2 linked regions of the Tribolium castaneum genome follow. The main gene of each other region encodes a partner of the protein of the gene in region 2 in a complex. Links are inferred from orthologs where the notes say so. Each region holds a gene or a part of one and is shown on either strand. Other genes may lie near its edges.

Evidence for each region. Proteins that work in one complex are often made in the same cells at the same time.
Region 1: vir (region 2) and Mettl14 share a complex: the UniProt entries of both Drosophila melanogaster proteins name them as parts of the WMM complex. The link is inferred for Tribolium castaneum from reciprocal best matches to the Drosophila melanogaster genes vir and Mettl14.

What each region holds. Positions count from the first base shown.
Region 1 is NC_087399.1:166,672-170,689, forward strand, and holds Mettl14 (N6-adenosine-methyltransferase non-catalytic subunit), read right to left. Parts: upstream 2,876-4,018; 5' UTR 2,747-2,875; coding exon 2,681-2,746; intron 2,631-2,680; coding exon 2,032-2,630; intron 1,980-2,031; coding exon 1,472-1,979; 3' UTR 1,198-1,471; downstream 1-1,197. Other genes in the region: phosphatidylinositol 3,4,5-trisphosphate 3-phosphatase and dual-specificity protein phosphatase PTEN, read left to right, coding at 1-129; BicC (protein bicaudal C), read left to right, coding at 3,220-3,442, 3,490-3,896, 3,951-4,018. UniProt on the Drosophila melanogaster protein: Non-catalytic component of the WMM complex, a complex that mediates N6-methyladenosine (m6A) methylation of mRNAs, a modification that plays a role in the efficiency of mRNA splicing and is required for sex determination.
Region 2 is NC_087394.1:22,054,445-22,060,028, reverse strand, and holds the start of vir (protein virilizer), read right to left. Parts: upstream 3,425-5,584; 5' UTR 3,341-3,424; coding exon 3,284-3,340; intron 3,236-3,283; coding exon 2,531-3,235; intron 1-2,530. Other genes in the region: epimerase family protein SDR39U1, read left to right, coding at 3,685-3,715, 3,764-4,440, 4,486-4,683; nudC domain-containing protein 1, read right to left, coding at 4,722-4,994. UniProt on the Drosophila melanogaster protein: Associated component of the WMM complex, a complex that mediates N6-methyladenosine (m6A) methylation of mRNAs, a modification that plays a role in the efficiency of mRNA splicing and is required for sex determination.

The sequences.
Region 1 (4,018 bases), on a different chromosome or scaffold from region 2:
TATTCGCAAGTAATAATAACACAAAATCGAGTACAAAAAGCAGCCGGATTACAGTTTATTAAATTGGTGTGTCAGTCAGATAGATTATTAGGGAACAGCGACGTCTACCTCAAAATTTTTTCTTCGTAGGACAATCACATTTTTTGCTTAGTGATGATTCTGGTTTTTTGAATTTAATAAACTGTATTGTGTAAGCTCAAGTTGTAAGAATGTATTTTCCGTTAATGAGACAATGATTAAAAAGATATAATAATTCTCTCGTTGGTCTGATTTTTATTATTATTTTTTTTTTCGTATAAAAAGCCTCCGAACAAATACGGATTTCAGGTAATTATGTGTAAATTGTGCTTGTGCTTATTTGTGTTGTGTGTACAATGTTGGGAAATCAGTCTTACTTAAATTTATTTCTAGGGGAGTCCACGTACCTGTGAATGGGAGGCTCAAAGGGCATGCATCGTACAAAACTGTAAATATTGCATGTAGAGAAGGGATTGTGTCATTATTTTTTTTTGATCATTCATTCATCCGCTTGCTTTTTTTAAACCAAGTTTAAAATCAGTCAAAACACTTTTTAATTATGAGAGTACAAATGCTTTTTTGATCTCATTTCATTTTATCTTGCCAATGTTAGTACTTTGGTTACCGGTTATTATAAGATTTTTGCCATTTTCCCCCTAACCCTCTCCCTAGTTTTTTTTGTAGGGAAATTTAGAAATGAACTAATTGTGAACCGAATTGCCAGTACAATATGAAGACTGAATGAAGAATAATTTAACGATCCAAAACTGTATACGATTTCTTGTTCAGGCTTCAGTTCTAATTTTCCCTAATTTTATAATTGTAATAACTTAACGAAAATTTCTCTCTTCCCTAGAAAAGGCTGTTAAATTATTTTATTAAGACCAATAATTTGTATGCTCGAATTATTTAGTGCATAGTTTTTTTCTCAATGTATTTTTTTACATTAGGAAGTACCTTCTTATAAGTTAAACTTAGAACATGTTTTAATTTTTCTCTTTGTGTTTCAACAATAGAAACAAGTTGTACTTACGATGCCAAATTTTGTTAATGTTTTAACTGATTTTAATTGAAAACAATCTCGAACCCAGTGTATGGTCTTCAGAAAAATATTTTTTAACATGGTACCAACCAGTTTTATAATATAAAAATTGTATTATAAGGTTAAAGTAACAAAAATTATGTGACTGCGTCATTATTATTGAACGAAAATAAAGTAAACCACTATTTTTATATATAAATACATAATTGTATGGTTATTATAGTTTTTATATTGATATTGCTTATTGTGATTGTGATCCAAGATTAATATTATATTTTAAGTTATTAGATCTGAGAACACTGCTGGAGATGATTTGGTAGTGTCATAATTTTTTCAAATCAGATCTGAGCGCACTGCTGGAGACTATGGTAGTGTCATAAATTAAAAATAAAAGCTTTAAAAAGTGTTTTTTCAACGTCCCCTGCCACGTCCTCGCTGAAAGTTGCCCCGACCTCGTCCTCCGGAATTTCCTTTGCCCTTTGGAGGCGGACTTTTCGGCCTCAAAGCTTCAATTCGTTCCGTACATCCCGTCGTTATATTATTATTAGTAAAATAACTCGCGTATAAATCGGCATTGAAATTCGAATTTGTTAACTCGGGACCGATCGTTAACCAACCTGGACGTATGGTACTGTCTCTACCGAAAATGTGGAGGCGCCGACGCCCCAAACAGAAGTGTTCGATTATATGGAAAATTTCAACCGGTTTTTCCAAACTTCCATATTCGTTCTCTTCCGAAATGATCAAATCAATGTCGACGTTGGCGTGAATAAAATCCCCGTCGGTTGACCGCCGAACCGTTCCTTTAATACCCATAAGACAGTGTTCCTTTGTCCTTTGGAACACTGCTTTAGGGTCAAGGTTTTTCGAATGACCTGGATTTTTTATGTTTGTGCGAATCCAACAAATATCCTCGCATCTGTAATTAGATTTATTATTACAAAATTTTGGTCTAAAAATGGGGAAAATACCGGCGAAAGCCCCATTTTCTGAGACACACGCGCCCCATGTCAAGTCCATCTGAACTTCCACACCACAAAAATACGAAACTTCGTTGCGCTGCCACTTCCCCCACATCCAAATTCATGATTTGGTCCCATGGCCAGAACTGCATATTTGTGGCCCCCATGGTTCTCTGGTATTCTTCCAAAGGTGGTTCAATTAAAATCACATCAAACTTACAATTTAGGTTTTTCAAATCATAAGTCGTTAAATCACATTTGAGATACATAGGGGGATTTGCAGTTTGTGCAATAAGTTCGTCTTTTAATTTGATTAATTCACGTAATTTGGGGTACTCCTCAAACCGGTCCGCTAGACCGACATCGCGGATGAAATTCTGGGGTCTTTGACCAGTGTCGACAAAATGTTGGCAGTAGTCATTATGGGGGTTCGACGATTGAGTCCCTTTGAGAAAAGTTGAAGAGTCACGATAGACCAATTCATTTGGAGTGTCTTTCTTGTAGTCGTATTTTTCGTTTTCGTTGTTGGTGGAATCGGGACGTCTCTTAGAGACCTCGGTTGTGGTTCCTAGGACCTGGCGGAGCTCCTCGGGGTTGGAAACACCAAGCTTAAACATTATTTGTCAGTGATACATAACCACATTTTTACTATACGTACAGTTTGAGCCAGAAGTTGCTTGCGTTTCCGTGATTTCTCACGCAGGTGTTTCATAACTTCACCCATTTTCAAGTGCAGACGGGTTTTATCAACTCATTTTATTTAGTTTCCCCGCAGTTTTTGGCAAAATTCGGAAAATTGATGATAATCAAGTAGCGCCACCGCTTGACATATCGTGGCGGTAGATTTAAATTGGGGGATGAATTATTTGTGGTAGAAATAAATTGTGTAACACTTAAGGACAAATAAAGTTTTGTTGAAATACTTTATTTCTTTTATTTAGAAACCTGAAAAAGTTGGCAAATAGTAAAATTTGGCGCTTACCTGTACCAGAGTACTTCAGATAAGATTGAAGAAAAACATGCTGAGAAAAAGCAGGAGATAAAACTTCTCTTTGGCCCTTATCAGAGTTCAGTCGCGCAAATTACCAAAAGCGTGTCACCTACACAGCCCTTAAAAACGCGTAAAAATCCTTACAAAGTGACCATTAAATGGGGTTAGTCATTAATTAATTGTGGACGTAGTGATTTAAAAAAAAAATGTCTTGTAATTGTGCTACACCTCGTGGAATCGAGGTAAAAAATTCCGACACACAATCAGAAGTGTCGGAAAGCGGCACGGCTACTTCTGGTTTCAACTCAAATTGGGGCTCCAGAGAGGAATTAAGGGATTTTGTTGCCAAACACGGATTAAAGGACATTTCGGATTTGTACCAGGACCGGTTCCGGGTCGACCGCAAAAAGTTGGAACAGATGCTTAGTGGTAAGTAAAGTTTTTTTTGTAATTTGTGAAATTATTTGTAAAAAAAGGGGACAACGATGCACTGATCCCTGCTGACGTTTTTTTTGCGAACATTATGGAAGACACTGACACTTACATAACGTGGCCAAACAAACTCAAATTGGGGGCTAAATCGAAAAAGGATCCTCACGTGAGGATCGCCGGCAAAGAAGAGGATGTTAAAGCCGCCAAAGACAGGATTATGACGGTTTTGTACACGAGATGCAATCGTGTAACCATGAAAATGGACATAAGTTACACGGACCATTCGCATATTATCGGCAGAGGAGGGCTGAGTATTAAACGTGTCATGGAAGAAACTCAATGCCACGTACATTTCCCTGATTCGAATCGTTCGAATCCGATGGAAAAAAGCAATCAAGTTTCGATTTCGGGCGATTTGGAAGGGGTTGAAAATGCAAGGAGTCGCGTTAGGGTATAGTTATCAAACATTTTGAATCCAACCCTACCACTAGTACAATCATTTCAGGAATTAATTCCGCTGATTTTTGGGTTTGAGCCTCCAATAATGGCCCAAAATATTGATAATACGTGTCC
Region 2 (5,584 bases):
TCCTCGTCATCTCTAATTTGTCAACATTCGTTTCTTACACCAAAGATACAATAGTCATTCCGCATAAGCATTGTAATAATTGTGAAGCCTCAAAATTCGTACAACGCTCAAAACATCTAAATAAACATTTTCCCGCCATTTATGGTTACTGTTTTCGACCTAGCTCAGTGGCGCCCCCAACGGTAATTTTACTTCCGAATATAATTTGATCAACAATAAAAATAAATTATTTTTGTAACGGTTTCCCAGGAAATAATTCCCAGTGTTGGCACATCTACAAATTGTGATTTTTTGACAAATTTAATTTTTTTAATTAAAAAAACTACTAAAGTATGATAGTAAATTTTAATATAATTATCCATCATTGTGCTAGGGATCGATTAATTATTATGAAACATAGCAACTTTAAAAAATAATGAACAGTGAAGAGATTAACAAAAGTTTTTAGCTGAAGATTTTCTAAAACATGACTTTAGGATTTTTTTCAAGATTTTTCCCGAAATCTACCCATGCTTCTCAACAACGTAACAGTGAGTTGGTGTGCCAGTTTTTGAACTCCCAGTATTTAGGAAAAATTTTTGAACTTTGGGCATTTAAATTTTGAAAACGACGAAAATACTAAAATAAAATACTTAATAATAAGTAAATTAGTAACGTTATGGTCGGCATTTTGAGGGTTATTTCGTAAAAAGAAAACAGACTCTCACTTATAAACGAGTTAAATTTAATGTAGCAGACCAAAAGAACGCCATTTTCGACACTCAGTAGAAATTTTTCGCCACATTAGAGGGATTATTCAGTAAAGTAAATAAGTTTTTAGCTCAAAATAACGTAATTCGCGACATAATTAACTAATTTTTCTGTCTGTTTTAACGCTGTTTCACAAAAAAAAGTTAGCAGTAAGCTAAAAATCATCCTTAGTAGGTCAAAACACTGACTTTCGTCATTTTTGGCGAAATATCGTAAAATGAGCTTATTACTCAAAAATATGATCTAATGAAAAAGACGAAAATAATGTCGTTGTCAACCCTTCCTTCGTGATTTTTAATACCATTTTGGGCTGAAAAACGTACTAACAAGCTCCATCTCCAAGTGAAGTTTTATCTAATTTGCTATGTTTATCTCATAAAAACACAAAAACCTCCTCAAAACTGCAGAAGCTGTCATGGTCACTGTTAATGTTTACAGCAAGTGGCCCTACACAGAGCGTCACAGTTCGTGCATTACATATTGAGATATTATTGTCTTTAGAATCCCTTACTGCAATCATCAACAATGGGCATGATAATCATTGCGGTTTTAGGCCCCAAAATTTGGGGAGGATTTTATCTTGTTGTGGTAACAAATTAAATAGAACTTAATTTTTGGAATTATTTGAACAAAAAAATATGTTTGAGCATTTGAAAAAGACAAAAATACAGGCTTAGTAGATGAAGGGGCAATGTAACTTTTTTTGAAAATTTTTGAATTTTGAAAATTTTACAAATATAGACTATTTTAATATCGTTTAATTAAAATATGCTTCACACATTCGTATTTTTCTGTAAAATTTCTTGTAAAAGTTAGTTGTTGCAAATTGGTTGAAGGGAGTATATACAATTAATTTGGTATTGTTCACTTACGGATCTAACTGCACACTATAAAAATAAATTAGTCTTATGTATGTTTTTTCCATTTCAAAAAAGATCATGCTCAAAATTTATGTACCTATAAAATAGTGTAACGTACACATTTAACTTAATTTTAACTGAAACTAACTATTTTCTTGTTTAACAAATACATACATGTTTAATAATAAATAATGATATATATATAATTTAGTAAAACCTAGCTAACATAACTGCAAATCTAATAAAGAATTTTTTCGAAATGAAACTTTGAAAGCACGTAAATAATTGTGTAAGTCAAAAAATCACAAATACATAGCCCCTTCAATTATTAAACTAGTTACGTCATTATTCGAGTTTTCGAGGGATTGCACAAATTAATTTCTCAATCTTATAATTTTAAAATTTTGCGGCGAATTAGAGAGAAGTTTCGCATAATACGTGAGTTTACAACTCAAAAGCACATAATTCTCGACTTAATTTGATAATTTTTTCGACGTGTTTCAATAAAATCATTCTGAACAGGACAAAAGAAGGACGATTTTGAGCTAAATTACAGTCAACTTAACTTAAATTAACGCTACAATAATTATTTTACTTTCAACCATTATTTGTGATTTTTACCTGTTCTATGGAATGCATGCAAAATACTACCTGAAATAACTAAACTTTTGGCTAGAAGTCATACCTTCTAACTTTGATCAGAACTTCATGAGAAAAGTAGGTTTTTCCCTTTTTTTTTTTTTAAATAAAAAAATAGTCACTTATAAAACGAGCTTTTAGCAAATTGGCTCAAAATAACATTTAAAAATAAAATTTTGGAAATTTTTAAGATGACAACAACAAAACTTGCTCTAAAAACTACCTCTTCAGTCTTCACCTGGTTTTCAATTCACGAACCGCAATTGCGTTTTGGGACCTACCTGATATCCCTCCCTGGTCCGTTCCCTGTCTCTATCCCGCTCTCTATCCCTGTCATTTTCGCCACTTCTGGGTCTCACCTTCGTGTCCCAATCTCCCTCAGGAGGGTGATGGTAACTCCTAGGGTCCTTAGGAACATCACTATAATACTCGTTGTATTCCTGAGGGTAATTCTCAGGCTGATTATAGCCCTGCTGATACGGGGCGGCATTCTGATTATATTCAATTGGAACACTTGTGATATTTTCCTGACTCCACTCATTTTCAATATTATTTCCTGAAATTATCTGCTGGGCGTCTGCTATAGTATTGGGCTGCGTTGGTAAAGCCGGATTCACAACAGGTTGAATAATTTGTTCAGTAATGTTATTAGTCAAAGTACCATAAACCGCTAGGGTGATGGTCGTGTACCACCCCCTCAAAACCAACCCATCTGTGGGTATTTTTCTAACAGTATCTTCCGGAACGCAGTTCAAATTGATACAACCGTTTTGATTATACTCGAACCCCCCTAAACTCTCAAAAGTACTCGCACCAGGCTTCCCCAAATCATTTACAAAAAACTCGATTTGAAACTGACTGGGGTTTGTAGCCCCCAGGCGGACGCCACCGGGGAAATCCGCTTGGACCCGAGCCCCCAGAGGAATAATACGAACTTCGGTTACATACACGGGTTTGGGGAACTGCACCAGATCCAAGTTTAGCTCCTAATTTACGAAACTCGTAAGCGAGGAAACAAAAGGCCGAAAACTTACCTCGGTGTTGTCGTGGGCAAAAGTGTCGAAAAAGAGCAATTCGACCACGTCTGACATTTTGGAAATGTTAGTTTTCCATATTTTTCACAATTACACGTAAAAACCACCGATAGTTTACAAAATTCGGAGGAAAAATGTGGTTAGCACACACAATAACAAACTTTTAGGTTATGTTTTGGAGACAGGTGCACCAACTTAACGTCATTTGAAAATGTAAATATACAAAAAACTTCTAATTCTATGAGCTTTCTACCGTTTATTCGCACTGTTTGTGTTATTTTCAATATTTAGCTTATTAATTTAGTCATATTTTAATAATACAGAGACGTTTATATAATTTATGTTATAGGTTATGAGATGTTTGGCTAAAAACAACCATCACATTTTTTTCATCAACGAACATGTCCAAAGCTTTAGGCACCGCTCTCGTGGGTTAGTTTCACCCCCTGTACCACGTACATAGTTAATACAGTGTTTAAGGGGGCGGTACGGGCTTCATAGGAAGTCACTTATGTAATGCTTTGAAGTCACAAGGGTATGGCGTTACCGTCATTTCCCGGATGCCGGGTCCCCAACGCATGACCTGGAACGACTTGAACCACGTCGGACTTCCCGAAGGAACAACAGCTGTGATTAATTTAGCTGGACAAAATGTCCTAGACATGAAACAGCGCTGGAACGCCGGCTTTAAACAAAACGTCTTCAACTCGAGAGTCAACACCACCTCATCCCTAGCTAAAGCAATTTCAAACGCGCAAAACAAACCCTCAGTTTTTGTGAGCATATCAGGAGTTGGAATTTACAAAGCAGATAAAGTCAGAGAATATGATGAAGCGAGTGTAGAACCCGAGTTTGATTTTTTCTCACGGCTTTGTCATGAATGGGAAAAGGCCGCCAAGCTTCCAAAAGGGCCTACTAGGCAAGTGACGATCCGTAGCGGCGTTGTTTTGGGGAGAAACGGAGGGATGATCAAACAGCTCTATTTGCCGTTCTTTTGTGGACTGGGGGGCCCTGTCATGCCAGGTGATCAGTACTTACCGTGGATACACATTGAAGATCTTACCGGACTGATTTTATTTGCACTCAAAAATGATAAAGTTGAAGGGACCCTGAATGGAGTGGCTCCACAAAATGTCACAAACAAGGAATTTTCAGACGTATGGCTTTGCAATTTTGGGTAAGTAATTTATTGAGTTTTTCAGGCTTTTGCTAAAGCTCTGAGACGTCCGGCTTTTTTTCCCGTCCCTAAGTTCGTCTTGAATGTTCTGCTTAGTGAAGAAAGGGCTAATATGCTGACTGAGGGACAAAAAGTCTTGCCAAAGAGGACAATGTCGTTAGGGTTTCAGTATAAATATCCTGATATTGCGTCAGCATGCCAGCAAGTTGTTACAAAAGAGTGAAACTTATTTATTGAAATGTTACAAAAATTAATAAAAAATTACAATTTAAGTGCCGTTATGAAATTTTCTCCCAACACGTATAAACAAGTATTTGAAGCATAAATCCCTAAAATTTCCTCGTTTGAAGGTAGACTGAAGACTTGTTGCTGTGCTAATGCGTTTACTCTTTTCCCAGTCGTTCTATTCCTTAACTGATTCAAACCGATGCTTTTATTTTGGCAATAAATAAAAATGTGTTTGGTCGATTCGCAAATAGCGGCGTAACTCAGGTCAGGAGAGGCCACAAAAAACTTCATTTGTTGTTTTGACGCCTAGAAAACCAAATCAGAAACATTATTCAAAGTCGGAGTACTAAAACTACAAGGCGAACCGAAATCAAAATCACCTAATTTTCTATAGCTAAAAAATTATGAATTATGAAATATATTATTATGAAATTATATTATTAGAAAACACCAACAAATTAAAAATTATTGCCCTGAAGAGCATCTCAGATGCAAAAACTAACGAGAAAACGTCGAGAATAAGTACTGTAAAAATGCTGTAATTGTAAAGAATCAAATTTCCTTTGAAAATTGCGCAACACCGAACACTCTATCTTCGACGGTTTTGTTCTTCCATTAAAGGTAGAGGCATTTGTGCGGAACCTTTTTTAAGAAAATTAATTCCATATTTTTATTAACTTCCAAATAAGAGCTAGAGAGTCAGAACGGATGCTCAAACATAAAAATATAGAAAATCAAGAATTAGATGAAAAAATTAAGGCAACAGATAAAATATTAATAATACTCCCTCCGTTCCATAACAAGTGTCCGATTTAGTTAATTAATACATTATTGAATAATGAAATTAAATGCTCAAAGATGTTATTTATTTAAATTAAGCATGGAAGGAAAAAGTA